Diceros bicornis minor: one gene and its partners. The protein of the gene in region 4 interacts with the protein of the main gene of each other region in a pairwise test. Links are inferred from orthologs where the notes say so. Each region holds a gene or a part of one and is shown on either strand. Other genes may lie near its edges.

The links.
Region 1: the proteins of KHDRBS2 (region 4) and PTK6 interact in binary tests that used the Homo sapiens proteins (3 or more experiments, as listed by UniProt). The two-hybrid records come from large-scale screens. The link is inferred for Diceros bicornis minor from reciprocal best matches to the Homo sapiens genes KHDRBS2 and PTK6.
Region 2: the proteins of KHDRBS2 (region 4) and PRR3 interact in binary tests that used the Homo sapiens proteins (3 or more experiments, as listed by UniProt). The two-hybrid records come from large-scale screens. The link is inferred for Diceros bicornis minor from reciprocal best matches to the Homo sapiens genes KHDRBS2 and PRR3.
Region 3: the proteins of KHDRBS2 (region 4) and DOCK2 interact in binary tests that used the Homo sapiens proteins (3 or more experiments, as listed by UniProt). The two-hybrid records come from large-scale screens. The link is inferred for Diceros bicornis minor from reciprocal best matches to the Homo sapiens genes KHDRBS2 and DOCK2.

What each region holds. Positions count from the first base shown.
Region 1 is NC_080758.1:663,874-671,093, reverse strand, and holds the start of PTK6 (protein-tyrosine kinase 6), read right to left. Parts: upstream 3,011-7,220; 5' UTR 2,984-3,010; coding exon 2,754-2,983; intron 1-2,753. Other genes in the region: tyrosine-protein kinase Srms, read right to left, coding at 6,352-6,545, 6,723-6,879, 6,973-7,154. UniProt on the Homo sapiens protein: Non-receptor tyrosine-protein kinase implicated in the regulation of a variety of signaling pathways that control the differentiation and maintenance of normal epithelia, as well as tumor growth.
Region 2 is NC_080753.1:34,524,009-34,531,142, forward strand, and holds the start of PRR3 (proline-rich protein 3), read right to left. Parts: upstream 3,013-7,134; 5' UTR 2,819-3,012; coding exon 2,710-2,818; intron 1,977-2,709; coding exon 1,914-1,976; intron 23-1,913; coding exon 1-22. Other genes in the region: GNL1 (guanine nucleotide-binding protein-like 1), read left to right, coding at 3,982-4,054, 4,473-4,638, 5,028-5,164, 5,320-5,471, 5,587-5,658, 6,581-6,788, 6,943-7,038.
Region 3 is NC_080740.1:83,897,451-83,905,028, reverse strand, and holds the start of DOCK2 (dedicator of cytokinesis protein 2), read right to left. Parts: upstream 3,016-7,578; 5' UTR 2,970-3,015; coding exon 2,927-2,969; intron 1-2,926. UniProt on the Homo sapiens protein: Involved in cytoskeletal rearrangements required for lymphocyte migration in response of chemokines. Activates RAC1 and RAC2, but not CDC42, by functioning as a guanine nucleotide exchange factor (GEF), which exchanges bound GDP for free GTP.
Region 4 is NC_080753.1:8,698,540-8,705,916, forward strand, and holds the start of KHDRBS2 (KH domain-containing, RNA-binding, signal transduction-associated protein 2), read left to right. Parts: upstream 1-4,360; 5' UTR 4,361-4,567; coding exon 4,568-4,658; intron 4,659-7,377. UniProt on the Homo sapiens protein: RNA-binding protein that plays a role in the regulation of alternative splicing and influences mRNA splice site selection and exon inclusion. Binds both poly(A) and poly(U) homopolymers. Phosphorylation by PTK6 inhibits its RNA-binding ability.

The DNA of each region.
Region 1 (7,220 bases), on a different chromosome or scaffold from region 4:
GACACCAGGAAAGGCCCTCGTGACCAGGAAGAGGTGAAGCAGGCTCCCACCACCCTGCCCAGATGTCTCCCGTCCCAGACACGTGCCATCCCATCCTGTGGGACTACATCCTTCTGTGATTCTGGGACCACTTCCTGTGACCCGGGCCACAGACACTGGGCTCCAGCTCCAAGGACCTTGGGTTGGGCATCTAGGCAGAAAGGCAATGCACACATGCCCTTGCACTCACACACATGCACCCACATGTTCATACACATGCACCACACACACATGCACCCACACGTTCACACACATGCACCCCACACACATGCATGCACCCACACATTCACAATCATGCACCCACGTGTTCACACACATACACCCACATGTTCACACGCATGCACCCCACCCACACGTTCACACGCATGCACCCACGTTAACATGCATGCACCCACGTGTTCACACGCATGCACCACACACACACATGCACCCACACGTTCACATGCATGCATCCACACACACATGCACCCACACATTCACACACATGCACCCACGTGTTCACACGCATGCACCCACACGTTCACAATCATGCACCCACGTGTTCACACACATGCACCCACATGTTCACACGCATGCACACAGATGTTCCCACATGTTCACATGCATGCACCCACATGTTCACACGCATGCACCACACACACATGCAACTGCACGTTCACACACATGCACCCCACACACGCCTGTGCCCACATGTTCGCAAGCATGCACACACATGCACCCACGTGTTCACACACGCACCCACACGTTCACATGCATGCACCCACACACGCACACATGCACCCACACGTTCACACACATGTACCCACATGTTCACACACATACACTCACACGTTCACACGCGTGCACCCACACACACTCATGCACACACACGTTCACACATTCACACACGCATGCACCCACATGTTCACACACATGCACCCCACACACACTCATGCATCCACACATTCACACGCATGCACCCCACACAGACATGTGCACCCACATGTTCACATGCATGCATACACACACACAGGCACCCACACATTCACATGCATGCACCCACACGTTTGCAAGCATGCACACACACATGCACCCACGTGTTCACACACATGCACCCACACGTTCACATGCATGCACCCACACACACACGCCTGCACCCACACATTCACATGCATGCAGACACATGCACCCACGTGTTCACACGCATGTACCCCACACAATGCACTCACACATTCACATGCATGCACCCACGTTAACACGCATGCCCATATCCATGCACCCACATGTTCACACGCATGCACACACACATGTACCCACACGTTCGCACACACGCATGCACCCACATATTCACATGCATGCACCCACATGTTCACACGCATGCACCTCACACACGCATGCACCCACACATACACACATGCACCCCACACACGCATGCACCCACACATTCACACGCATGCACACACACACATGCATGCACCCACACACTCACACGTATTTGCACACACCAGCTCCCAGAACCAGGGCATGGATGAGCCCTTGACTCTGGACTGCAGGGTGGGGCCTTCAGAGCTCCGCACATAACCCCTGCTGCCGGCTGCTCTGCTGTTGGTACCTCGACTCCCTCAGGCACCTTTGGAACTTGGGCACCTGCACAGAAGGCTACTGCCCCGTGAGAGCACCTTGGGAGTCCACACTCTGCCCCTGACCGATCCAGCACTTGTCCAGTCTCTCCCATTTGCTCACCCCTCCAACCCCCCTGCCTCCTTCCTGCTTCTCAAATGCGCTGGGCTCTCAGGGCCTCAGGGGCCTTCACCAGCCGTGCCCACCCTGCAGTATCCCTGTCATGGGACCCCGCCTTCTGAAACTGTCCTCTTTATGACTGTGATTGTTTGCTGCTTATCTCCCTGCGGTGGGAGTAACCCACACATGCTCTCGTGCTCTCCCGGCACAGCCTGGTGCTCAGTCCACGTGGGTGCTGGTGAGCCACCACGATCACGGGAGTGCAGGCAGGAAACAGGAGTCCCTCCTGGACCCACCCCGCCCAGAGCTCGGAAGAACCACCTCAGGGCGCCGTGGACACGCCCTCACCAGGCTGCGCCTTGTGGTCTAAGCTTCCTAGGCAGCCCCTCAGAGCTGGCCACCGCCTCTGGGAGCCACCTTGCCAGTGACAGGGCAGCTGCGAGGGCACAGGGAGCAGATGCCTCAGCACACGCCCTGGACGAGCATGTCGCAACGACCTTCTGGAGCGCTCCCTCTGAGTCACACATCTGGTTTCAGTTGTTTGGAAGGTGAGTGAAGCTTCACTCCCCAAAAGGCCCAATGCTCCTGTGTCAGTCCCCCGCGCAGACCTCATCACTGTCGGCCAGCCACCCGGAAGCCCACTGCGGACCCTTCTGTCCTCTCTGGGTCCTGGCACCACGAAGTGACTGTGGGGAGCCCAGGGGAGGGGCCACATGCCCCCATCCCCAGATGACACTTGGTGAAAGCCCAGTTAGTGCTCCCAGGACCGGGACGGTGGGGTCCAGTCCTGACTGGGGAACACAGGGAGACAGAGCCACGGGTCGCCACCCTCACCGGCCTCCCAGGGGCCGGCCCAGCACGCTTGCCCCTCCCCCGAGACCACCTGGCACGGAGCTCTGTCCGACCGCCGCCCTGCCTGGAGCTCTCGCAGAGCCGCAGGGCCTAGGGATTGGGGGCACCTTGGAGTGACCCACAGGGCCCACAGGGACACTTACGGCTCAGACTCCACTGTCTCCTTCTCGGCCAGGTAGTTGTGGGGCACGTAGCCCTCGGCCAGGGCCAGGCCCGCCTCGTCCAGCAGCATGGCCCACCACCACTCTTCCTCCTTCCTGGCCACGTGGAAGAGGTCACCTGCCCTGAAGCTCAGCTCCTTGTCTGTCCGGGCCTCAAAGTCCCAGAGGCCTACGTACTCGGGGTTCAGGTGCACCTGGCCCTGGGACGCCATTGCCGGCGCAGCGGCAGGACCTGGCCACCTGGCCTCGCCACCTGTCACTCTGCTGGCTGCCGGCACGCTGGCTGGCAGGACGGGCAGGCGGTGCTAACCCTGACAGGCCATCTCCGCCCAGCTGAGGAGCTGGCCCACTTCCCTGTGATGAGGCTGCCAGGTCAGGCTGGCCACACCCGTGCCCACTGGGGACGGGCTCTCCCGGGCCTCCTCAGGCACCTGGGCTCCACCCTAAGGGCCCCGGCAGCCCCCACCTGTCCTCCTACCCACTGCGGCCAGCTCAGCCTGGGTACCACTCTTGCACATCTGCTATGGGAAACCTGTGCACCAACCAGCCACTAAGGCGCCCCAGGCTACATGGCCGGACCTGAGCCCAGGGGAAGGGAGGGCAGGGCAACTGGTCAGACAGATGGGCGCTCAGGTGTAAGTGGAACCCAAGGGGAGTGAGTCTTGGAGCTGAAGGGTGAGGGGAGGGGCGGAGGCCCAGGGGTGAGTCATTCCTTCCCACACCTCCCAGGGCTGCCAGGACTGATCCGGACAGACAGACGGACAGCAAGCTCCTAGCAGAGTCACTGCCAGAAGCCCCCCAGAGGGCTGCTTCTCTTCCCACCCCCGAAGGTTGTCCTGTGTCCTGGGCACCTCTCCCTCCCCCACGGAGCCCACCCAACAGCTCCATGGGAGCTGTCCTGTGCGCCGGGCTCCCGAGGACAGGAGGGCAGGGATCTGCAGAGAGGGGGTGTAGGGACTCGGCCCCCATGCCAGGAGGACCGTGAGGACAAGTGACCAGGGGAAAATCACATACTAAACCCTACGTGCTGGCACTTTCCCTTTGACTGAAGAGACAGCCGTGGCACCACTCACTCCCTCCAAGATTCCGGACCCAAACATGTGTCGTTCAACAAGTTCATAGACGATGGGCAGCCCAGCTCAGCTCTGCCCCACGTGGGGAAGGGGCAGCAGAGGGGGTGTGGGGAGAGATCAGAGGGGGCGAGAGGGACGGCTGGGCCCTATGTTGGGGCCCAGGGAGCTCCCAGGTGCCCCCAACCTGCCTCTCACTGCTCACCAACACGCTCCTGTCCCCTCAGCCCTTGGGCCAGCCCGGGACCCCATGTCTAGGGGGCCAAGGCATGTCGCGGGGCACAGACGTGCCCAGGTTCCGCCTGAATGGCACCAGGAAGCAGGAGAGTTTCAAGCCTGAAAGTCCCCGGCCCCTCCCAGGGGCCCCGAGCACTAAACCTGTTCAGCTTGTGGCTGATGAGACACCCCAGGAATGAGGCAGTGACCCCACACACACCCACCTCTCTGGCCGGTTGCCAAGCCCAGCACGTTCCCTCCCTGGAGGCGCCCGTCCAGCTCCCCTGGCTCGCACTGCAGCTCGGGAAGCAGAGGCATGCCCATCTGGTGGCTGAGCCCCTTGGTCCCACACTGCTGCTCGTGTGTTGAGGAAACACCCAGAACCCAAGAGCTCACCTCCAACCCTCACCTTCTCAGCCTACGAGCCAGAGCTGGCCCCTCAGGTCTCCCAGGACAGGATGGAGGGGGTCAAGGGCTGCAGGCCAAGGCAGAGCTTCGGCTAGGCTGCTGGGGTCAAAGGGCTCAGGTCAAACCCTCTTGCCCCCACCATCCGTCTGGGTCGGGACCAGCCCCAGCCTGATACCCAAGACTCCAAGGGGCCCCTGCCCTCTCCCCACTCGGCCCTGGGCCACAGCCAGGCTGGTCTGGGCCCTGACGTGACCTCATCCCTCTGTGCTGCCCCCACCTGCGGTGCCCCCACCGCCCTCCCCTCCAGGAAGTCCCTACTGTTCTCAGAGCATCTGAGTGGCCCCAGGGAGGGTCATTTATCTGCACTCAAGGGTCCCAGCTTCCTCCAGTGCCAGCCCATGGGCAGGGCCTGGGGTCAGCAGTGAAGGGCTAACTGGCCTCAGCGGGCCCAGAGCTGACCCTAAACCGTACACAGCGGCCGTTCCCTCCAGGGAACAGTGAGCTGAGGGCGGCCTTGCGTGGTCTGCCCCTTCAGTCCCCACAGGCCTTCTGGGGCACAGCTGCCAGCGTGGGGCTCCCAGGAGGGTGGGGGTCAGGGACCACAAACACAGACCGCATCTGCCCTGCCCCCCGCCCCTCTATTGTCCATCTGGTGGTGACGGGAGCCAGGCAGGCTGAGCAAGAACCAACAGCACACGTCCCACCCGGCTCCTCAGCCCGGCGGGAGCAGTCACACCCTGGAGACCCCAAAGGCCATGCATCGGGGCTGCTTCCTTTTCCCCAGAGAGCCAGCTATCACCCAGTAGCCCTCACCCAGCAGCATCCACCTCCACCCCGCCTGACCCTGCACAGCCAGGGCAACACCAGGACCAGCACCACGAGGCAGACTCTGCCTCTCTCACCTTTGCCCCATCCCCAGAGAACTGACCTCAAGGGTCACACACCCCCAAAAACGGTCACGCAGCCACCACTGACCTTCCCGTGGCCTGACCCAGTCCCCCACCTCTTCAATCCCATCCCGATCTCTCTGCTCCAGCCCCAGGGAGACGGAAAGGGCTGTTGACACCTGAGTCCTGCCCATGGCCCAGGGGTAGTGCTGCCTCTGGGTCAACCTGCTCTGGGTGCCAAGATGCCCTGGGGTGGGGGCCTGGGCCACGCGGGGGTTAGCTCTCCCTCTGCCAGGGTAAACCAACTGGGGGCCCACCCCACCAGCTCCAGCTCCTGTTCTGGTTCAGGGGGCTGAGGCCCATGTGTGAGCCATGTCTGCTTGCGTCTGAGTCAGTCAATACGTATTTATTAAGTGCTGCCTTCCCGTGTGCTCAGGTCTACACACGGGAAACGGTGTGCCCGTGGGAGGCAGTGGCCACGCCCCAGCGTACGCCCAGCATGTGCCATGTGGGGCCAGTTCCCACGGTCTGCCTGGGAGCCCTGGCACCACTGCTTCCACAAGGCCATGCGGGGACTTTGGGGAAAATTGGGAATTCCCACCCCTCGCTCTTGACCCTGGGAGGGGGTCGAGCAGGCCCAGGGCAGCAGGCCTGGGCAGGGGGACCGCAGCCCAGGCTCAAGGCTTCTCCCTGAGGCCGGAGCAAACTCGGGCTCCACTTGGCCTTCTGTGCTGAGTTCATCCTTCGCCAGGGACACTGGTCACTTAGGGCAGAGGGCGTCAGCCCCTCCCCTGTCTGAGTGGGTGTCTGCGTGTGTCTGCCTCCTGTGCACACAGGTGTGTGTGTCAGTGTGTGTGTCAGGGCGTGAGGCCCACAGCCAGAGGCTCTGCGGGCTGGTGATGGGCCGTCTGGCACCCTGTACGTGTTGATGGTAAACATCATCCCGGGGGGACGCCCTGGCGGGAAGGAGTGACCCCAGCCCAGCGTCCAGTGCCTGGGTCACGTGAGGGCAGGGTGGAGGCGCCTGTAGACGGCGCCCAGCTTCTCCTGCAGCACGGCGAAGGCCGGCCGCTCCTCGGGGCTGCCCCTCCAGCACTCCAGCATGAGCAGGTAGACCTCGGCGGGGCAGGCGGCCGGGCGCGGCAGGCGGTACCCTCGCATGATCTGCTGCAGCGTCTCGTGGTTGCTCATGCCTGAGGAGGGGGCCGAGGACAGGGGCTGCCTTGCTTCTGCCTGGGGGTCACCATGGAGACCTACCCCCAGCCCTTGGCCAGACCCTGCCAAGCTTTGAGGCCTCTTGCCCTCCCTTCCAGGGTCAGCGACCCCCGGGGGAGGGTGTGCCTCCTCCCTGGGGCTGCCTCGTGGCCCACCTTCGTAGGGACACTGGCCATAGGCAAAGACCTCATACAGCAGGACTCCGAAGGACCAGACGTCCGATTTCTGGGAAAAGACGCGGTAGTTGGCCGCCTCGGGCGCCGTCCACTTGACGGGGATCTTGGAGCCGCTGCTTGGGGAGTAGATGTCGTCCTGGGCAAGGGGAGACCAGGGTGGGGTAGACGGAGTGGCACCCTCCCCCCCCAGCCGCTCTGCCACCCTGCAGGGTCAGCAGCCAGCACCGACCTTGAGCAGCCGAGCCAGGCCAAAGTCGGCCACCTTGCAGGTCAGGTCATCGCCCACAAGCACGTTTCTGGCGGCCAGGTCCCGGTGCACGATGCGCCGCTCCTCCAGGTAGCTCATGCCCTCGGCCACCTGGCGGGCAAAGCTCAGCAGGAGGGGCGGGCTCAGGGCCTGGCCCTCAGGGCCTGCGGGGCGAGACCGACAGGGGCAAGTGTCTGCACCCATCACATCCTTCTCTGCCTCGGTTTCCT
Region 2 (7,134 bases), about 26 Mb from region 4:
GTGGGTGGAGTCCAGTTTGGGGCTATAACGAAAAACGCTGCCATGAACATTTTGATACATGTCTTTGTTACACATATGTATGCACTTCTGTTGAGTATATACATAGCAGAGGTATTGTTGGGTCCTAGAGCATATGTATGCTCGAGTTTCATAAAGTCAAACTCTTTTTTTCAAAGTGGTTGTACCAATTTACACTCCCATCAGCAGCTGTTACACAGTCTTGACCACACTTGGTATTGTCAATCTTTTTCATTTTTCCCATTCTGATGAGGGTGAAAAGTGGTGTTTTTTTAAAATTGTGGTAAAACATGTAGCAAAAAATTTTCCATCTTAATTATTTTTAAGTGTATATCTCAGTAGTGTTAATTCACATTGTTGTGAAACAGATCTCCAGAACTTGTTCATCTTGCAAAACTGAAACTTTATAGCTACTAAATAACTCTCCTTTTCTCCCTCCATCCAGCCCTTGGCAAACACCATTCTACTTTGTTTCTATGAATTTAACTACTTCAGATACCTCATATAAGTGGAATCATATAGTATTTGTCTTTTTGTAACTGGCTTATTTCCTTTAGCATAATGGCCTCATCTATGCTATAGCATGTGACAGGATTTTCTTCCCTTTGGGGGATGAATAATATTCTATTGTATGAATATACCACATTTTGTGTATCCATTCATCTATCAATGGACATCTGGGTTGCTTCCATCTCTTGGCTATTGTGAATAATGCTGCTATGAACATGGGTATGCAAATATCTCTTCAAGATCCTGCTTTCCATTCTTTTGGATATATAGCCAGAAGTGGGATTGCTGGATCATACGGTAGTTCTATTTTTAATTCTTTGAGGAATCTCCATACTGTTTTCCACAGTGGTTGTACCATTTTACAATCCCACCAACAGTGCACAAGAGTTTCAATTTCAAAGTGGTGTGTTTTTATCTTGCATTTATTTAATGACTAATGATGTTGAATTCTTGTTCACATGTTTTTAGCCGTTTAGATTTCAGTTTTTATGAGGTGGCTGTTCCAGTCTTTCGCCCATTTTTCTAACAGGTTGTCTAGAAGAGTTCTTTATATACTCTGGATATGAGCTCTTTATTGGTTATATTTGTCGCAAGTATCTGCTACTCTATGGCTTCCTATTAATTTCTTAATGGTGTCATCAGATTAACAGAAGTTTTTATTTTCTAATGTAGTTCAGTTTACCAATCTTTCCTTTGTAGTTAGTGTGTCTGTATTTCTTGTCTAAGGACTCTTATCTACTCTAAGACCACGAAATAAATTAATTTTCTAGAATTATTTCTTCACCTTTTACACTTAGATCTATAAGCCACTTGGAATTGATGTTTGTATATGGTATGAATAGGAGGTCAAATTTCATTTTTTCCCCCACATGAATGTCCAATTAATCCAGCATCATTTACTGAAAAGACCACTATTTCAGTTTCATCTTCATCATAAATTAAGTGTCCACATATGTGTGGGCCTTTTACTGGACTCTTTTTGCTATCCTAGTGACTTAAATGTCCATTATCACACTGTCATAACTACTATAGCTTTACGTTGTCTTGATATTCAGAGTAAGCCCTCTCACTTCAAGACTGTCTTTGCATTCTCTCAGGCTGATCCTTTGCATTTCCATGTCCATATTATAATGTAGAATGTCTATTTCTACAAAAACATTATAGGGATTCTAACTGCGAATGCATTGATTCTATAGATGAATTTGGGAAAAATGGACATTTTTACGACATTGAGTTTTCCAAACTGTGAGTATACAACATGTCTCCATTTATTTAGGTACAAAAAGCCCTGATATTTTTATTTTAAAGGATATATTCTTTCTAGGTTTCACTCCCTCCCTTTTCCAGGAGCTAATCAAAGGATTAGGGGGCCCCCTCCTCCTCACCTGACTTGGGGTCACCAGGCTTTCCATTGGCCATGGGGGGAGGGCCCAGAAGGCTGGGTGGTCCTAAGAGTAGACATGAAAATATGGTCATCAGAATGGACTAAAGGACTGATGATCCTATTCTTATTATGTTTTTCTTCTATTAGTCATTTCTTAATCCAACCAGTAAAGGTATATTCTTAGCAGTGTTAAGAGTTCTCACCCCATCTATCTGCCCTTTCCTCTGCAAAGCGTTTTCAGGGTTTGCCAAAAGTGGAGACTCAGTCAAGGGGGATAAAGCTGGAAGGTTACCTACAACTTTCCCTTTTCTTTACATTGTTGCTATCCAGACCATCTCAGTGATACCAGAGGTAATCCAATTTCTCTCTTTAACTGCTGGCCAATCAGATAGCTCCCCAAGCCCACGCACACCCCGGTCCCCCGCCCTGACCCGGAGTAGTTTTAGAGAAGGCTGCACTTCCACCTTCCCTGTGAAAGTCTGATCACAAACTGTCATCCCAGTTGTCGCAACCTGCAACCTCTACCACTCCTCTCCCCTGCCACTCTGCGGCTGCGCACACGAGCTCTTTACCTTCTCCCCTACCTTGTTTATTAAGCTTTAGGAGCCAGATTGAAGTTGAGGGTTCAAGTAAGAGAACTCCTCCTTCAGGGCTCCATCCCGGACAGTCCCCTCTCTGCCCCAGCGGGTGCGCCCTTCCTCCTTTCGTTAGAGCCCCCTCCCCCGCACCTTTTCAGCCCCTAACTCCTCGCCCTGACCGGCTGACAGGCATGTGCACACCCCTCCCGGGCTCCTCACCAATGGGACTCCCATCCTCCTCATCTCCAGTATCTTCCCGCTCTGGCAGTGGGGGCTGCTGCTGCGGCGGCTGCTGCTGCTGCTGATTCTGCTTCTTTCGTTTCGGCATCGTGGTTGCGGCAATGGCTGCAGCGGGATTTGGAGGGCAGTGAGGAAGGGGCACGCTGGGATTCTGTTTCCGCTTCCGGGGGGGCGGTGGACAGTGAGGCTGAGGCTCCCGCCATTTCACTTCCGGAAGGCTGCGGGGTCCTTTGTGCGGTGGCGTTCTCACACCAACTGCCTTCCTCGGTCTCTGCCAGGCATGGCGGCAATCTCAGACCGTCCCTTTGCTGCGTTTGTATAAAAGCTTAGAAAAAAAATTCCTCTCTTCTCCCCTCGCTGAAAAAATCCCACAACCGTCTCCTCACAGTGTGCCATAGAGTCGACAGGCTCTCGGCCCAGAAGGCCTGAGAAGAGAGGGATGTCGCATCCTAAGATCGCCACATCCGGTACCCGGTTACTGTGGTAACCGCTGCAGGCACAACTTCGTGCCCTCTGACCTCCCTCCAAAAGTCCTTGTCCTACCTGGATGTCCCTCCTCTCCCGCGCTTGCCCTTATAATCTGTAAACCTGTTCCTTATCATCGTTCCCACAAGGAATTTGGGTCCCAGCAGGGCGGCGCTCACGACTTTTCAGACCACCACCCGCCCCTCAAGACCTCTGACCCTGCCCCCAGTGTAGCCCAGAAACTTGGCTTCAGTCCCGGGACGCGCAGTCTCGGCTTTCCACTAAGGTCACACCCGGGGGTTGGTAAAACAGCTTCTGCGTGTCCACGCCCCTCTCTGCCCCAGGTGGTAGGACCCGCCCCCCGCTCCGCCGCTCCCCTCCAGGTGAGTGGTAGCTTCTCGCCGGCGCGAAAGGTAGTGATGACACGCGTCCCCCCTCCTCCGAACGCGAGTTGGTAGCGTCCGTGACGAAGTTGTCCGATCCTCCCACGCGCGCCTCCTTCCTCGCCGCCGCTGCGCCCTCTCGGTACTACTGGCTCTCACGTGCGGGTAGCCCACCCCGCATCATCCTCTCGCCTCGCTCGCAGAGGGAAGTGACTGTATTTCCCCTCGTCCGCCTTCCACCCCAGCCGCCGGGGCGAATTGGCCGGGCCCGCCCGCTGACGTCACCTCAGAGCCCCGCCCCCTCAAGGGTCCCGGGCCCTTGCGGCGGGGGCTGCCCCGGGGGGGGAGTCAGTTGAGGCGGCGGGAGCTCGGCGGAGGGCGGGCCAGGTGACTGGTCCGGGCCATGCCGAGAAAGAAGCCCTTCAGCGTGAAGCAGAAGAAGAAACAGTTGCAGGACAAGCGGGAGCGGAAGCGAGGTCAGTGCGGGAGGGAGACGAGGGGGCGGGGCTCCGGCTCCCGCACATCTGGAAGGAGGGGTGTGCCTGCCGCACCTCTAGGGGGCGTGGGAGGGGGTGGTGGTCGCGCGCCGAGGCGCGCGGGCGACCGCGGACGGGATTCCTTCATCCCAGCCCCCTAAATCTGGAAGGAGTGGGGAAGGATGGAGAGTTGGGGGAGGGGAATCCCTCCAGCTCGAACGGGGCGCCATCCCCGCAGCTCCCTGGAGGAGGAGTGACTCCCCCCACGCACATCCGGGAGGGTCCTGGGCACCGTGGCTGGGAGGACCGGGCCTCAAAAGAAGTAGGGTGGGGTGAGGGGGAGCCAGGCCGGCCGAAGAGAGGGTCTTATGGCCCCTGCGAGCCTGCCAGCCCTGGCGTCACCGGCTCCTCCCCGCAGGGCTTCAAGATGGGCTGCGATCCAGTTCCAACAGCCGCAGCGGGAGCCGGGAGCGGCGGGAGGAGCAGACAGACACCTCAGACGGGGAGTCTGTGACCCATCACATCCGCAGGCTCAACCAGCAGCCTTCCCAGGGGCTGGGCCCGCGAGGCTATGCCCCGAATCGGTGAGAAAGGGCGGGGGGCGCTGGCCTGGGCCTCCCCGCCCACCCGGAAGTCAGCCGGCTGGGGGAAAGCCGGCTGCTGTTGGTGGAGGCTGGAAACTGGAGGTGGCGGGGCTGGGATGCCACGAGTCTCCGCGGGCCGCCGGGCTCACCGGAGCAGGCCACCGTCTTCCCTTCCGGAGGGGCTGGAGAGAGTTTGGCTTTTAGAAGAGCGAGGCTTAGGGGAAGGGCGAATATTCCATGAAAGAGGGACTTGGGGGAGGGCCGACTCCGAGAGGAGATTTGAACAAGTCTGGAGAGCAAGCTTTGCGAAGTTGTCTGCCCAAGGGGAGAGAAGACGGGACTTTGTGGTCACAGGACTGTGATGGATGCCGTGGCATCTCTCCCGTTAGATATCGGCTGCATTTTGAGCGAGACAGCCGGGAGGAGGTGGAGAGGAGGAAGAGAGCAGCCCGGGAGCAAGTGCTGCAGCCGGTCAGCGCTGAGGTGCTAGAGCTGGACATCCGGGAGGTCTATCAGCCCGGTTCAGGTGAGGGAGAGCCGGACATCCGGGTGTTTGGGGCAGGCAGTGGGCTGAGGGAAGGAGCTCGGAAGAGCTGACGGTCAGGAAGGAGGGGACTGGGATGCACCCTTGAGTCCTGAAACTGTCCTCGTACTGACTTGGACTTTTTCTTGACTTTCCAGTCCTGGACTTTCCCCGACGTCCTCCCTGGAGCTATGAGATGTCCAAGGAGCAACTGATGAGCCAGGAGGAACGGAGCTTCCAGGAGTATCTTGGGAAGATTCATGGGGCTTACACCTCTGAGAAACTCAGCTACTTTGAGCACAATCTGGAGGTGAAAATGGAGTGAGGACAGGAGTGGGGCGGAGTGACCGATGCTCAGATTGGTCTGGGATCAGGCGGGGAGGGACTCTGGGCTCAGGGTCTCTTCTACTGACCTGTCTTTGCAGACATGGCGGCAGCTGTGGCGAGTGTTAGAGATGTCTGACATCATCCTTCTCATCACCGACATCCGACATCCAGTGAGTGCTGGGGGGAAGGCGGACATGGGAGGAGGGAGGAAGATTCCCTCCTCCCATGTGGGGTAAAGGGCGGAGCAGGAGTTGGGAGACAGAGAGGTGTCCTCTTTCCTTTCCAGTCTCCTCTCCCCCATGCTGCTGTCCGCAGTCAGGAGCTCAGTCCCTTATTCATCAGTATGACAGACTGTCACTCCTCCCCTGGCCAACTGACTCTCCTCTCCTTTACTTCCCTTGATGAAAAACTGCATATTCTGTTTCTCAGTCCGCTGGGAACTAGACCAATAGAAAGTCCCCATGTGGAGCTCCAGGAGCTTCTACGAAGGCAGCTGGGGGCTTCCGCCTCTCTTGCCGCATCAGTTGCCATGGGACTCAGCCTCGCCTGGAATGCTAGGGTAGTGGTTCAGGCTCTAGACTCTGCTGCTGGGCATCCCTTGTGTGAATCCTCTCTGCCACTTCACCATTGTCCTCCAGTGGGAGAAAGGGAGGTCTGTGGGGACATGTAGGTTGGAGGTCGTTAATGACATGTACACACACACTCGTACACATATACTCTGCCTCCAGTTCCCCACTCACCAGGCACAGCTCAGAGACAAGACCCTGGTGGGAGCAGATTCTGGGGCAAAAAAGGTAAATGAGCCAAACTAAACTAGAAAGACAAAGCAGGGGTAAGTAACACCTCTGCATTTGTCTCTGAGGGGCTTCCTATGGGTCCTGGTTAGGGATGGAAATGAGCTGAAAACAAGATAAGGAAATAGCGACACCTAGCACATTGGGGTAAAGGCTGGAAGCAGGCACAGGGATGGGAGTTGGGGTAGAAATTAATGTCTATTTTCATGTGCATACAACGGTCTGCATTTGCTCACATGCGTATGTCAACTCTGGGTTGACCTCTCATTGCTCCATCCCGTGACCACCCCTCTCCCAGGTTGTGAATTTCCCACCAGCACTTTATGAGTACGTGACTGGAGAACTTGGCCTGGCACTGGTGCTGGTCCTCAACAAGGTGGATCTGGCCCCGCCGCCTCTCGTGGTTGCCTGGAAGCATTATTTCCACCAACACTATCCCCAGCTCCACATCGTCCTTTTCACATCTTTCCCTCGGGACCCCCGCACCCCACAGGACCCTAGTAGCGGTGAGTGGGCAATGAGGAGGGCAGCATGGGAGAGGCGGGTGGCAGGGGACAAAAGGGAGCACAGAGAGGCTTGTTGACAAGGGGGTTCCTGATCTTGGGCCTAAGGGTGGTGGGAGAGATGGAGTGCTAACCTTTTTGTGCTCTCTGATCTCAGTGTTGAAGAAGAGTCGGAGGCGGGGGAGAGGATGGACTCGGGCCCTGGGGCCAGAGCAGTTGCTGAGAGCCTGTGAAGCCATCACTGCGGGGAAAGGTATGTGCCCCTTAGAGGGAGCTGTGGGAGGCCATGGGGGAGACCCAGGGCCTGCAGTCCTTTTGCTAACCTTTCCCTAAGTCAACCTGTCTATTA
Region 3 (7,578 bases), on a different chromosome or scaffold from region 4:
ATATCTCCTCAAGGGCAGAGGCTGTGCCCTTTCTTACTTCATAGCCACACTGTCTTGTCCGTGGAAACTCCTACCCCACTTCTACGTGAAGGTTCTCTCTGGAACTCTAATGGACCACACGTTAACGGTCCATCAAGGAAGGAAAAATAACCTGGCCAGGGATCTACATGAGGGTCACCCTGGCTGCCCACCAGACAGCAAGAGGAGCGAGAAGTCAAGTGGTTCTGGTGATGAAGCCAGCCCCCCAGCAACAGACACCAGCAGCCCTCGTCAATTAGGCCAGAGGAACGATGGCTAAATGCCACCCACGCTCAGGAAGAAACCAAATGGGAAGCAAAGCTCAGGTTCTCCTTGTGCTAGGCCTGGCTGAGACTCCAGAGATATTCCAAGAACCCGCCAATCCCTCACATGGCTCTACCTCTTTATCTTCTTCCAGGCACCCACACTCATTATCTCAAATGCTCTTCATAAAAGAATGCTTTGAAATAGAAAAGTATTAATACCTAGACTTACAGTGAGAAAACTAGAGCACAGATCTGCCTGCAAATGGTGATGGTGTCAGAACTAGAACCCAGACTCCTTATTCTCAAGCCACTGTTCCTTCTGTTGGATAATCTAGTCCCGTGTCTCATCATAACCTAAGCCTTTCCTTTCCATCTGCCCAGAGCCTGCAGATGAGGGCGGGAGGTTACCTTCCTTAGTTCTGACATTCATCTGCAGAGAAAGAGATCCCTTTGATGAGCAGGCACCTACCAAGTGCTCTCTGGCTCCCAAGAGGGTCATAGACCTTCTGATCCCTCATAAAATAGAATTTTCATAAGTAGGCGTGAAAAATGTCAGCTATACCATCAGATCAAGAAGGTTCCGGGCCTGAAGCCTAATAGAGTTCCCAGTCCCTGAGCACAGAGGTGGGATTTCCCCTGCTAGGGAGGGTGAGAACCCTATTCCATCCTGTAGCCGCATTCCATCCTGTGATGTCATGTCCTCAACTGGACCCCAAGGAGGACAAAGTCTAAAAATAATAATTGATAATATTTAGTGAGGATTATTTTGTACAATTGTCATTCTAGGCACTTTATGTGGATTAACTCATGAAGTCCTGCCACATGCCTGGGAAGCAGGTGCTGTTATTATCCCCATTATACAGACAAGGAAACTGAGGCCTGGACAAAGTAAGTAACTGTCTAGGTCACAGGGCTGGGAAGTGTGGGAAGCTGAAATCCAGGAACAAGCAGTCTAGCACCAGAGTCCATGGTCCTCACACCACAGCACAGGGCCTACACAGCTGAAATGCACTGCAGCCCTTGGGGCGGTGGGCGGACTCTTCCACCACACGTCAATCTCCCCCATTAACTGCCCTGAACCACCAAAACTGTCCTTTGTCTACCACCCAGGTACCTTTGCTCTTCTGTCCACCCAGCCTCCGTCTACACTAGCTTCAGCACAAATCTGCTCATGCCCCTCCCCTGCTCAAAAGCCCTCTATTGCTCCCCACTGCGTAAGTGGAAAAAGTCTCAATTTCTTAGCCGGGCATTCATACCCTTCCAAAATGTGGTTCCAACTTACTTTGAGCATGATCATTCTCTTCAATGCACCCTCCCCTCAAGGCAAAAGGAGCTACTGCTCTTCTTTCCTGGATATGCCCTTCACGTTCAGCTTTCATCTCCTGGACCACATGGGTCCCTCCACCTACAATGGCCTGTCTCATTTAACAGTCCCCATCTTCCCTAGAGAAGAGTTTCAGCCTGATACCTCCAGCTGGAAGAACCAGAGTTAAAGAAGCTTTGAAGCTAAAAAGGGTCCTTATTGAGTCTAGTTCAAATTTCCCATTTTATAGATGAAGAACTTGAGCCCCCTTGAGGGTGTGAATAGTTATTCGTTCTCTGGATGGGGACAATTCACCTTAAAACACTCTATAGTGCCTAGAGCCCAGTAAGCGAATGGATAAAAGTTGAGCTCTCCAGGGCAGTGTTTCTCCATCAGTGGCCTTGGGACCCCCTGCATCTAATCACTCTTGGTGCCTGGATCCTCCAACCTCTGACCTGCTCAATCCTCATTTCTGGGGGTGGTGTCTGGTATCTGCCTGTGTAGCAAGCCATACAGTGGTTTTAAAGTTCACACTTAAGTTTGAAAACCACAGTGAGTCTACGGGGATTGCACCACGGACGCCACTTAGTAGAAAGAGTTCCAGTACCTGAAGCCTCCCTTCCCCCAGCCACCACTTCCGCCCCTGAGCTCAGGCAGAGGCCTCTGGGAGTGTAGATGGCTGAAGCTAAGAGGCTTACTTCTTAGACATCCTCAGATAACCTGGCAGGATCCTTTCTCTCCAGAAGATCTCTGGGGGCTGAGTGAAGGATCCCGCCACCCAGACCCACCCCCCAAGCCTGCACAGCCCTCTGGATGCTCTGCCAAATCAGGCGTCATCTGACCCAGGAGGAACAGGCAGGGGAAGCAGGCAGAGGAGTGCCGCTTTGGACAGGGGTGGAGGGAGGCATGCTGGGCCAAGCAAGGCCAGGCCAGGGGAGAGAGCGGTGCTCCCTCTATGAGGACAAGTCTCCAGATGGGGCGATGGAGTCCACTCCCTGGAACGCTGGGAGCCTGGTGCACAGAGCCAGGATGCCAAGCGCTCGGCTAGACCCCATCTAGGAAATGCATAAGCGTTGGGGAGAAAAGGCGGCCCGCGGTGGGCGCGAGAGGGCGCGGGCTGGGCGCAGCCTGCTGGGCGGAGTGCCCACCTTCCTCTCCCGCTGCATCCTCTTCCCCGCCCAGCTGGCCTCGCAGCAGGCTGAGGGAGCCACGGCGCCCTCGGACCTTGAGTCAGCGCTCCCTGCCCGCGCCCGCGCCTCCGGCTTCCGCAGCATCTGCCTGCGTGCGGTTCTCCGGCCACCTGCCCTTTCCCTGCTGCAGACCCCATGCCCGCACCTACCCACTCCGTGCCGCTCCTTGTCAGTTTTGCGCCAGGGGCCCATAGCTGAGCCGGGGGCCTGCGGGCGCCTCGCGTAGTCCTGTGGGGAAGCAGCCAGGGGGTGGCTAGGCGCTCTGCCGGGCCCCACTTCCTTCCTCTTTTCAAACAAACTCCATCTCAGGGCCCGCCCTCCCCTCTCCTGGGCGCCCCGCTCCTCCTCTTCCCTCCCTTTGGGCAGGGGCACATTAGAAGTGGTTAGAAGGCCAGAAAGCCCCCGCAAAGCTTAGAAGACACCCCCAACTTGTCTCCTCCCCAGGCGGGTGGGCAGAGGCCAAGCAGGTACTTGGGACGACCCATGCCGCCACCACAAGTGCAGCAAGTTCCCCGATAGCTGAGCCTAGTGGTTGAGCAGAATCCTCCCTCCCTCCTCACCCTCCCAGCACGAGCTTTGGTGTCAGGTGTAGGTTCAAATCCAGGCTCTGTTGCTTATCAGCTGTGCAACGAGGACAAATGTCTCTTCTAAGCTTCAGTTTACTCATCTGTAAAATGGGATACTAGTACCTACTTCATATGATTATTGTGAGGATTAGAGAAGACAATGCCTGCAGCAGGTGACACATAAGAGTTACTCTGAAGATTAGAGGAGATAATGTCTGCAGTAGGTGACACAGGAGAGTTAAATATCCACTTGAAGGGGAGGTCATTTGTGGTTTTTATCCTTTTGGTGCCACAGACCCATTTGAAAATCTGACAAAAGCTCAGGAATCTCTCCTCTGAAAATACACAAGCATAGGATTTACCGACAATGCCAGGACGTAGGCGTGCTCTAACAGCCAGCAACAGTGGACTCCACGAAAAGAGGCCTAGAGTTAGGCTACCGGAGACATTTCTTGGAAAGATCTCATTTTTGCTCTAGAAACAGATTCTATCAAGAAACAAAAATGTCTCTGTGATCCACAGTGATAAGACCGACAAAGTCTTCCTGAATTTTCTTTCTTTATTCATAACTCTCACTACCCCTTTCTGCCTTACACTAGGGAGTCAATAAGATAGATTAGGCAATATCACAGCCAACAGGCAGCTATGGCAAAATATTAATTTCATTTTATTTAAAGTTATTTTCTTTTCAGTTTTCTAGCAGCATAAATTGGGTAGTATCTTTTATAGTGAGCAGTTGAATAAGTCAGGATTCCTCCAGAGAAACAGAACCAGTAGGATGTGTACATATAGAGAGAGATTTATTGCAAGAAATTGGCTTATGTGAATATGGGGCTGGCTAGGCAAGTCCAAAATCTGTAGGGCAGGCCATCAGGAAGCACAGGCTGGAAACTCTCAGACAGGAGCTGCTATCCACAGACTAAATTTCTTCTTTTTCAAAGAAAGCTCAGTTAAGGCAATCCAACTAATTGGATCAGGCCCATTCAGATTATTGAGGATAATCTCCTTCACTTAATGTCAACTGATTGTAGATGTTAATTACATCTACAAAATACTTCCACAGCAACACCTGGATTGGTGTTTGACTGAATAATTAGGGTCTATAGTTTTGTCAAGTTGACTCATAAAACTAACCATCACAGCTGTATTACAAACTGAACTAAACGTCAGAGGTTGGTGAACTTTTTCTGTAAAGGGTCAGATAGTAAATATTTCAGTCTTTGCAGGCCAATAGGCAAAATCAGGATACTGTGTAGGTATTTATATAACAGGAGAGAAAACAAATTTCCACAATTTTTATTGATAAAATTCAAAATTTGACATTAATAATTGATATTAATAAATAAATAAATTTGACATTAATAATTAATAATTTTGTGATATAGGTTTAGTAATGAGAAAAATAAATTTTGGGGGGAGATCACATTTCACTTCATTGGAGTTCAGAGTTAGTGTTCCCTTTCATCAGATTGGTTGCAGATGTTCATCTGTTCATGCTGATCCATAATGAAAGTTTATATGCTTTGTCTTTGAAAATTTCTTTTCCCACAGGTGGTATGTAGTGAAGAATTAACCTTGCCCAAAAAGAGGTCTGATATTTGTCCTCAGCTACTGGGAGGTGATCTCTAGGCCCTTGGAATGTCACAGTTTGCCTAGGGAACTTGGGTCACACTGGACAGTCTAAAAATATTATTTAGGTTGGTGGCTGACCACGCTAGAAAGATCAGCAATGTGATATAGGTGGGGGCTTTGGACTACACGGTATCAGTTGACCTGGAGGTTGAGATCAACCATTTGGCCAATCAATCAACCATACCTATGTGATGGAGCCCCAATAAAAACTCTAGACATCAAGGTTTGGGTGAGCTTTCCTGGTTGGCAATACTCCACACATATTGTCACACATTGATGCTGGGCAAGTAACGCATCCTGACTCCTTGTGGAGGAGACAATGGAAATGTTTGGTACTTCCTGGACTGTGCTCCATGCACTTCTTCCCTTGGCTGGATTAAATCTGTATCCTTTCCCGATAACAAATGGTATCTGAGCATAACAGCTTTCACTGAGTTCTGTGAGTCTTTCTAGTGAATTATTGACCCCAAAAGTGGTTTTGGGAACCCATCAAACCTGCAATTGGTGTCAGAACTGAGAATAGTCTTCTGTGGGCTGTGTACCCTCTAAACTTTGTGGTTGGCTAACTTTCACAGTTGGCTAAAACTCTCAGAGGAAGGTACTGCCAAATACTGATATTAATCCACGAACATAAGATTTTATTAAGCATCTTCATTGCTCTGAAGGAATTTACAGAGTTCTATTAAATCTTCTCTTGATGTTTGCCTTTTAGCACATCATTATATTGCAAATTAATCAATTCCAATTGAAGGTTAGATGGAAGCTCTTCAATTGCACAGTTAAATAGGTTTTGAAATTTAAAAATTTCTTCTGCATTTGTTTTGAAGTTTGAAAAACATTGCTGGAACTGTGATTTGAGCCTGAAAAATACATTCCCTGAGAATTTGTGAAGGAATGGAGATCTCACTTTTGGTTTTAATTTTTGACAGCACAGGAAGTTTTAAAAACAGCTTGACATTACTTGTGATTTAAACATTAATTTCCATCAAGATAACTTTGCCACAGTGTTCTGCATATAACCACTGTTTTGCTTTGTAATTCTGGTTGAATCTATTAAGAAACATTACGAAGTCTGCAGCAAAGCTAATTTCCAAAGCCATTAAGTATTCAATAATAGTGGTTGAGGGCTGTTCTTGTTAAGAAAAATTTCAATCTTGACCCGAGCTCAAAAAGTCACAGATGACTTATTACTGTTAAGCCTTGGAACTGCTATGTGGTTGGTAGGGCAAGTCAAGATATTCAGCTTCTATTTTTGACAAAAGTTCACAAAATAGACAATGGTTAAGTCCAGATGAGCTAATGAAATTCACCTTTGACACAATTGGCTTGATAACACATGATAGATTTAAATATTTTCCACAAAGTACCTTCTGTGAATATTACAATAAATTGGCATAGGCTTTAAACACTCTACATTTTCACAAGCTTTGTAAATTTGTCCGAAAAACTTTTTTCTGCTCCACACATATTTTTACCACCAATAGCTGTAACATCTTAGCAGATTCCACTTCAGGTTGTACTAAATTAGTTTCCTCATTTTCTTTGAAAATATTTTTGTCCATAGTTTTCCACACGAACTATTCAAAGAAGCTAATTCTTCATTCACTTCAAACTCAGCATTGACTTGTCAAATAAACAACTGAGCTATATTGATAACATCTGTCAACTTATCAAAACCCAAGGAAAACCACTAGAAATCATTCGCCTTGTTTTTTTGTGTGTATGTGTGAGGAAGATTAGCCCTGAGCTAACGTCCATTGCCAATCCTCCTCTTTTTGTTGAGGAAGATTGGCCCTGGGCTAACATCCATGCCCATCTTCCTCTACTTTATATAGCACACCACCACAGCATGGCTTGACAAGCAGTACGTTGGTCTGCACCCGGGATCTGAACCTGTGAACTTAACAGAGGGCATGAACTTAACCACTGCACCACCAGGCCAGCCCCCTCATTTGCCTTGCTTTTAAACTGATTATTAATGTTGCTCCCAATGTCTTCAACTCTTCAAGCAACCACTGTCACCAAAAGGCTAATAGTCTTAAACTACTTTATTTTCTCTGAACATATTTCATCTGCTGCTATAATCAAACATAATTTAATTAACTCACCATTAATAAATGTCTTTCCTTGCATGGTTAATAAATGAGTCAATTGGAAACTTACTTTGGTTGCAGTCTCATTTTCATTTTTTTTTTTTTTAAAGATTTTATTTATTTATTTTTCCCCCAATGCCCCAGTAGATAGTTGTCTGTCATAGCTGCACATCCTTCTAGTTGCTGTATGTGGGACGCGGCCTCAGCGTGGCCGGAGAAGCGGCGCGTCGGTGCGATCCCGGGATCCGAACCCGGGCCGCCAGCAGCGGAGCGCGCGCACTTAACCACTAAGCCACGGGGCCGGCCCTCATTTTCATTTTTTTAATTTTTTTTTTAATAAGTTGTGTTGTGATGAGATAATGTTTTAAATTTTCCAATTTTTCTAGCCACTGCTTTTTTGCAGTTGGGAATATTGTGATGAGTGCTTACTCTGTTATAGTGTATTCTTCTAGCACAGTTGTAGTGTCACTGCATAATAAACACAATGCTTTCCTGTCTAATTTGATAACA
Region 4 (7,377 bases):
GCGTCCTACATAATGGGCTCTGCCAGGCTTTTCAGTAGATGAAAATAAGTCAGTCAATATTTCGGTCCTTTGTTATACTCTGTCCTAGGCACCAAGGCATTAGAAAGCTTAGTAAATATTAGCACTTTAAGGCTCCATTATCATTACATAAATGATTGGGCTGCCATAACTTTACTAACCTGTGGTTCTTATTGTGAGTAGGTTCTACTGAATCCTTGGAGTAAGTAGTCAGGGTAGTGAGGTATCTCTAAAGTTGACGAGAACTCTGAAATAGAAACTGTGTGTTTTATTTAATAATACAGTTGGGTATTTTTTATTACTGTGCAAAGATAAGCCTGATTAAATGCCGTTTATCCTGGCTTTTCTTCTAAGGGTTTGTGAAAGTATTGAATACACAGTATGTGCATTAACTACAGGACATACTCTACAGTGCATTCCTTATTCCCCCTTCAAAACCAAATTTTGTTGGTGCAAAATTTTCCATAATATCCCGTTATTAAAATAATAGTGCAGTAAATGGAACATCATTAAAAAAACTTTGAGGACTAGAATTCATGTTAAAATGAGATAAATCTTTATTAACATATACAAATCAATTCAGTGTAGATTTTGGTTAAGTTATTTATACTATTATAAGAAGAGGTGGGCTTACCAGTAGTTATAATTTATTCATGTATAGGCACATAATAATCTCTATTCAACAATCATGTATAGAAGGCTCTTAATTTGTTTACATTTTTTGATGTTTATAAAATGTTTGCATTAATAAAGCGTCTCTGAGAATATCCACTAAATAATTATGGTACCTATAAAATATTTACATGTGTAATAAACGGAGAACACACAATGACATAGAGTCATCTATTGAAAACACATGGATCTGAGGCTGGCTAAGTGTATGTGTAGGGCACTTGGAGAGATTGGCTTTATTCAGCCATATCCTGTTTGGAAATAGACAATATTTTGTGAGTCAATTCTGAAGCATATTGATTATTAAGGGTCAATGTAGCTTATATATTTTTATTTTATAATATCCACCATGTGCTAAATATACAAAGTATCCTAAAGGTTAAGTTAGTATTCATTTTCTTTTAATTTTTTAAAGCTACATAAATACACTTTTTTCTTTAGAATGCATTTTAGGCATTTACTGAGAGTTTACCTGAGAATATAAAATTATAACTACTTTTTGATAATAACTAGGAAAAGTAAAAGTTAACTAGCTTTCCATAATTATAATGACCTGGATATCCAGAGACATATAATAAAGTCAGCCCTTGGACAGCTCTCTGTGGTACCTTCTTAGTGTACTTTAATCACGGAAAAGGATTGTGAATGAGTAATGTGATTTCTGTTGCTGGACATGACAAAAGTTACTGCTTCTTTTTGATTCATGAAACTGGGTTTGTGCATGTCCTCATCAGCACCACATGCTTTTAATCTCTGGGCGTGCTGCAAAGCAAAATGTGATTGCAATTATTGTGCAATAATTTTTCTAATTTATATTCGTTCCAAACATTTACAGTTTACTAGCTGTAGTTTGCATCTTATCCAGCCTCCCGCTATAGCGGCTCCTGACCATCTCTCTGAAGACTGGTAGCATGTTTCCCCTCATATCTCTGTTGCAAACCAGATGCCAAATGCCTGACCCTTCAACTGCTAACCATCCTGCCCACACTCAACTAAAATAGCAAGCACTCTTTGCACTTATCCTCAATTCTAAATTATAACGTCTTTGAAAGTAAGATAAGAGCCAGAAGAGATTGTTTGAGAAGCACTCCAGAGTGATGACAATCCTTTATGGTCCCATTAACACAGGGAATGAAATTCAACTTATTTTCCACCCACCAATCCTTAGGCAGTTTGTCCCCATCCATCCCTACCCTTATTTCTCCCGTTTCTTCCAGATCACTGCAGTCACATTGACCCCAGTCAGTTCCAGGAATAGGCCAAGCTCTTTCTGGTCAAATGGCTTCTGCATGGGCAAATTCACCTCCCTGGAATGCCTTTCTCTGTTCATTTTACGCAGACAGTGCCTTCTTTCCCATCAGGTTTTGCTTTAAATGCCAACTCCTTAGCAAGCCTGCATGTCTATCCTGGCAAAAAAATGGGTTCCCTTGTATTCTCTTTCTTAACTCCTTGCTTGGTTCCCTCCTGGTCTTTTTTGCAGTCAGCAACTACCAGTTCTCTGGTGTATTTTGTTTTGTCTTTCCCCATTAGAAAATCATCTCTATGATGATGGAATGAATGTGTGTATCTCATTCACCAATGTTTCTCCAACTTCTAGCACAGTCTCTAGGCTCTTTTCAATATTCACTAAACATTATTGAATGCATATATGTATAAATAAATTAACTATTTAATATACAAAAAGGTAGGCTAAAGCAGTACAATCTGGAGCTAAATGGTACTAAATAGACTTGAATTTTAATCTCAATTTTAGCATTAACTAGCTATGAGATTTAAAAAAGAATTTTATTTTCTTGTGATGAGAATTTTTAAGATCTACTCTGTTAGCAACTTTTAAATATACAATAGAGTATTATTAACTATAGTCACCAGGCTGTACATTACATCCCCAGGATTATTTTATAACTGGAAGTTTGTATCTTTTGACACCCTTCACCCATTTTGCCCACACCTCTGTCACGAGATACTTTTATAGGCCTAGAGTAACAACACTACAGAGAACACAGATCATTTTAAAGTGTTAGATTTTTACATGGAAAAGCTGATTAAGAAAAAAATGCCTTAAGAAATGTGATTTTCTTTCCTATTGTCAAAAACCAATATTATCAGTGAGTCATGGTTCTCACCGCTTATTTCAAGAACTTTTAACAGTCCTATCAGAATTGTTAGCCACATATCCCCTCACCTTTGGCCCCACGGTGGCATATGCTCAGCTCCCGGATGGCATGAACATGGCTGATGCCAAACGATGTCATATTTGTCACTTCCAGGTCACTGAACTTCTCTGCCTCTGTCTTAGTTTCCACACCTATAAAACAGAGAAAGCAATACTTGCACCATGTTTTCTGGAGTGCTTCTATGAGGAAAAATCGGGATAATGGATGTGAAGGCACATTAAATTAAAAGATAATTTCCCAACCTTATTTTGAAAAACAAATAAGGAAAAGATTTGAATACAGTAAGACAACTTGGAAAAGTTTTAGCACGCTTTATTTGTAGGAAAGTTAGCCCCCCATTCTTCCACACCAAAAATGGTGGGGAAGAGGTGAACTGGAAGATGATCGTTTATGAAAAGAGACTATGGAAGATTGTTTTGTGACATTTGGAGCAGCCAAGCTGCATTTCCAGGCCCCATCCGTAAGAGAAGGACGGGCACTGTCTCCAGCGTCGGTGATAGCTGGAGGGTTTAGCTCTCCTTTAAATAGAGGTGGGATAGGTGCCAAGTAGCGCAGTAACGGCACCCGGTGAAAGGGACTGTCACATCTGAAACAAGGAGAAAGGGGAAATTAGGGCAACCGTGGTTACCTATTGTCTAGTCTCTTCCTTCTTCCACATGCCTTCCCAATTCCTTCACAAACTGTGGCTAATTGATTATGTTGCTTTCCAGTTTTAAAATTCAGTCCCCTCCCGGAAGCCCACCCATAGATGGGGATTGGGGGAGGAGGGATGGATGGAGGGAAACCAGAACTCAGTCGATACCCCAATGATTGTACACTGGAAGCGCGTTGCCGTACAACAATATCGCCCCGGAGCCGCTTTATTTGTTTATCAATGAACATCTTACTGCGTCCCCGAGATGTAGGTCAGGCTCGTTGGAAACACCAGCCGCCGACCACACGCAGTCTTCATTATATTTCCAGACCCGGTGCGCTGCTGATTCCTGCACACTGGAGTGCGTCTGAGCTGCAGGGAGGAGAGGAGACACCTGTGCCTTTGGGACGCCGGTGAAGTCTAGTCTACCTGCCTGAGACTTTCCCTAGTGCTTTCCCATCCCCTCAGCTGCTCACTCCTCATCCCCATCCCCCTGACACCTTGAAGCCGATCGTCCCTGTTTAATGGGTGCTTTTCCCGCTCTCTCCCCGCTCCGCACCTCCGCTGAAGACACAGAGGGCTCCACACAACTGGGCATGCCTAATAACCAGAGAAGGCTTGGGCTGCAAGAAGAAAGCATTTGCACCTTCTGCGCTCCCCTCCCCTCTGCAGCTGCCTCCTGCCAGTCAGGCGATCCGACGTGAGGCGCGGCCCAATGAGGGCCCGCGGCCTGCGCGGGGGCCCCGCCTCCCCTGGCAGCACCACCAATGAGCGGTTGGCGAGGGTGGGACGCGCGCCGTCCCCGCCTCTCCAGTTAAGGCCGCTGGTGTGAGCCCCGGCTCGGCGCGAGCGAGGGACGACGGAACGGACGGGCAGGTGTGGGCGCGGGGCCGCGCGGCCGGCCGGCGGGAGTGGCGGTCGCCCGGTGCGTGGGCCAGTGAGGGCGCGCGGAGAGCCCCCGGCCGCGGCGGAGGCGGAGCGGCGCGGCAGCCAGGCGCTGCCCGCGACCCTGCGTCCGAGCGAGCGGACCCTGCGCTTCGCCCGGGGACGGTCCGAAGTCCGCGCTATGGAAGAGGAGAAATATTTGCCTGAGCTGATGGCAGAGAAAGATAGCCTGGATCCATCTTTTGTGCATGCCTCGCGCCTTTTGGCGGAAGGTAGGACTGGCCCCCACGGATGGGCACGAACGGCCGGCCGCCCGCTCCCCCGCGGCTGGGTTAGGGGAGTGAAGTTGGGGAGGGACGCCTGTCTCCTTCTTCGCGGGAACTGTCCCCCTGAACATGCTCGCTTCAGAGCCCGGGCGGACAGAGCCCGTGCTGGGCGCGGGCGGCGATGCTCCTTCTCCTCTACGTCTCAATTTGGGGAAGACCAGAGCTACGAGGTCTGATGGCAGTGGTGATGTGACCTGTTAGGATCGCTGATAGAGAAACCATCAAGTGTAACGCGGTCTACGGGAATATTTTCACTTCGCAGAGGGGAGGGAAGTCTGTTTGGAAGTAAATAATGGTCAAATTCTAAGACCTTCTTAGCTACAAATCAGCAATTTTATTTTGCTGCATTTGGGAAGTGATTTTGATATCCTTTAGTCTCATTACAGTCTTTCCTATGGAAAGTCTGAGAATAACCTAGGTTAAACTATGCGTGTTCGGCTGTGTCAGTGTGGCAGAGGCTAAAGTGCTTATCAATTTATTTGAAGTGTGGTGATTGGGTACTCTGCAAGATACCGGTCCCTGGGAACACTCCACAATTGATCAACTGTTTTACCAAGTGTGCATTTTCTTTTGTGTACCTGTAATGCTCAAGAAGATTTTATTCCCAGAGGAACGTATATATCTTGTCTTCTGCGTAGCTTTGAAAGGTTGTTTAAACACACATACACACACAAACTTCTGTATGATAGAAATATTAACCAAATTACTCCTTTTATCTTGAAATAATACCGTCTACCTGCTAAAGATATATCTTTAGTAAGCTACACATGCCTTTTTAAAAACAACTCCAGATCTCTTTTGATGAATGCATCATTAATAATGAATCGCTTCATCATCAGACAGACTATAGTGCAGTTTTGTAGCATAGGTTGTTATGGACTCAACTACAGCAAAACTCAAAGTGACAACTTCAGCCCTTCAGAAATGTTTTTTGAGACTTAGTTATACATGGAAGGAAAAATTCTAATCCTCTGTGTATGGTTCAAATAGGCATTAGGTTTATTTAAATATTTTAACGATAGATTATTACGTATGGCAACAATAAAGTGTAACGTGTTTTTTCATTTTTACATACTAAGCAATTAAGAAAAGATTTATAATCAAAATATTGAATGTGTGAAACTACTAAACTGTTTTTCAAGGAACAAGTTGGTTTTGTAGAGGATCTGGGAAGGTAAAATGCAATTATGTTTACTACTTTCTTGGTTACTGAATGAAAAAACCAGAAATTAAAGTTCAACAGTAAAGTCAATTAAAAAAATTAAACCCTCCCTCTACTTTATTAAAAAATAAAGATAACTACATAAAAATAATAAGAATATTGAAAACTAATGAGTTAATAAATGCTTAAGATTGTTCAGAATGATTAAAAATGCAATTAAGCCTGCTCAAATTCTTCACTTCAATATATTTTCCAGAAGTGTCTTCATTTAGCAGATAATGTCTTTAAAATGAAAAAAATGTTACAAATCGATTATTTTCTCTAACCTGCTAATTGGAGTTCTCTTTGGGACAGCAGGCTCAATGATTAATTCATCAGTCATTAATGAGAGTTAGTGTACTTTTGAAAACTGCCAAACTAAAGAAACTCTTAATAGAGTCATGAGTATTTCTGCAGCTGCTAAAACAGTCAGAGAAGGCTATGCACTGGTTCCTTAACATTTTATCTTTTCCAGGAACTTGATTTCTTGATACTGAGGAACAAGTTCCGACGTTCCTTGTAATTTAGTTTTTTCCCAGTAGGGGGAAGCATGTCCTGCTTTTGTAAGGAATTAGCAGGAATAAGCTCCTAAATGGAGAGAAAAGCATCTAAGTAAGAAACAAAGAGATGTCCAAATTTCAGAGAAATCATAATCAGGAAAAGAGAATGGAGAAGGTGATGATGATAATCTTGGAGTATATAAGGAGATATGCAAAAAGATGTATAGGGTTTAAATTAATGCTCTAATTGTTCCTGAGGCTCTTTAAATGTGCTCATTAAAGAGTACAAGGTGAGTGTCCTTTGGACTCTCTAATAAATCTTCATGTACATTTTACGTTATAGATCGTTCCTTATCTTATCAAAGGCCGTTTGCGAAGATTTCCAGGTTTTGTTTCAGATTCTCTATAGGAGAGTATTGTTGAGATTTCTCATACCTGGAAATGCACTGATTGAAGACAGTGGCTATAAATAAACCTGACATAGATATTCATTTGGAAAGAAAGTGCACACTGAAGTGCATTTTAGTCAGTGCTGTGCAGACAATCTCAAGACCGAGTGAGTAATAAAAGTGATCCAGATGAGTCAGTTCTTCAGAATGATTTTCCGGAAGCTAATATATATAAGGGCAGTGATGTAAACCAATGAGCTTTCACAATGATTTATTTTGCTTTTTTGATTGGTGATAGATGCAAATCTGTGCTCAATTGCAACTACTACTTCATTTAGAAATGAAGGCCATGGGGTTAAATGTACTAGTTTTTTGGTTGTTTTGTTATTTTGTTGTAGTTTGTTTTATTTCACTAGTTTCTGCTGTGTTTTCAGTAGGAATGAGTCTGAGAAAGCTAATGGAAGAGGCCAAACCTTTTATGTATTCTACTGTTACTTAGAAAAGATCTTGAATAAGATCTTGAATAATATGGTTTGAAGAGTGTTTATAATATATTTGATTAATTAAAATAATTT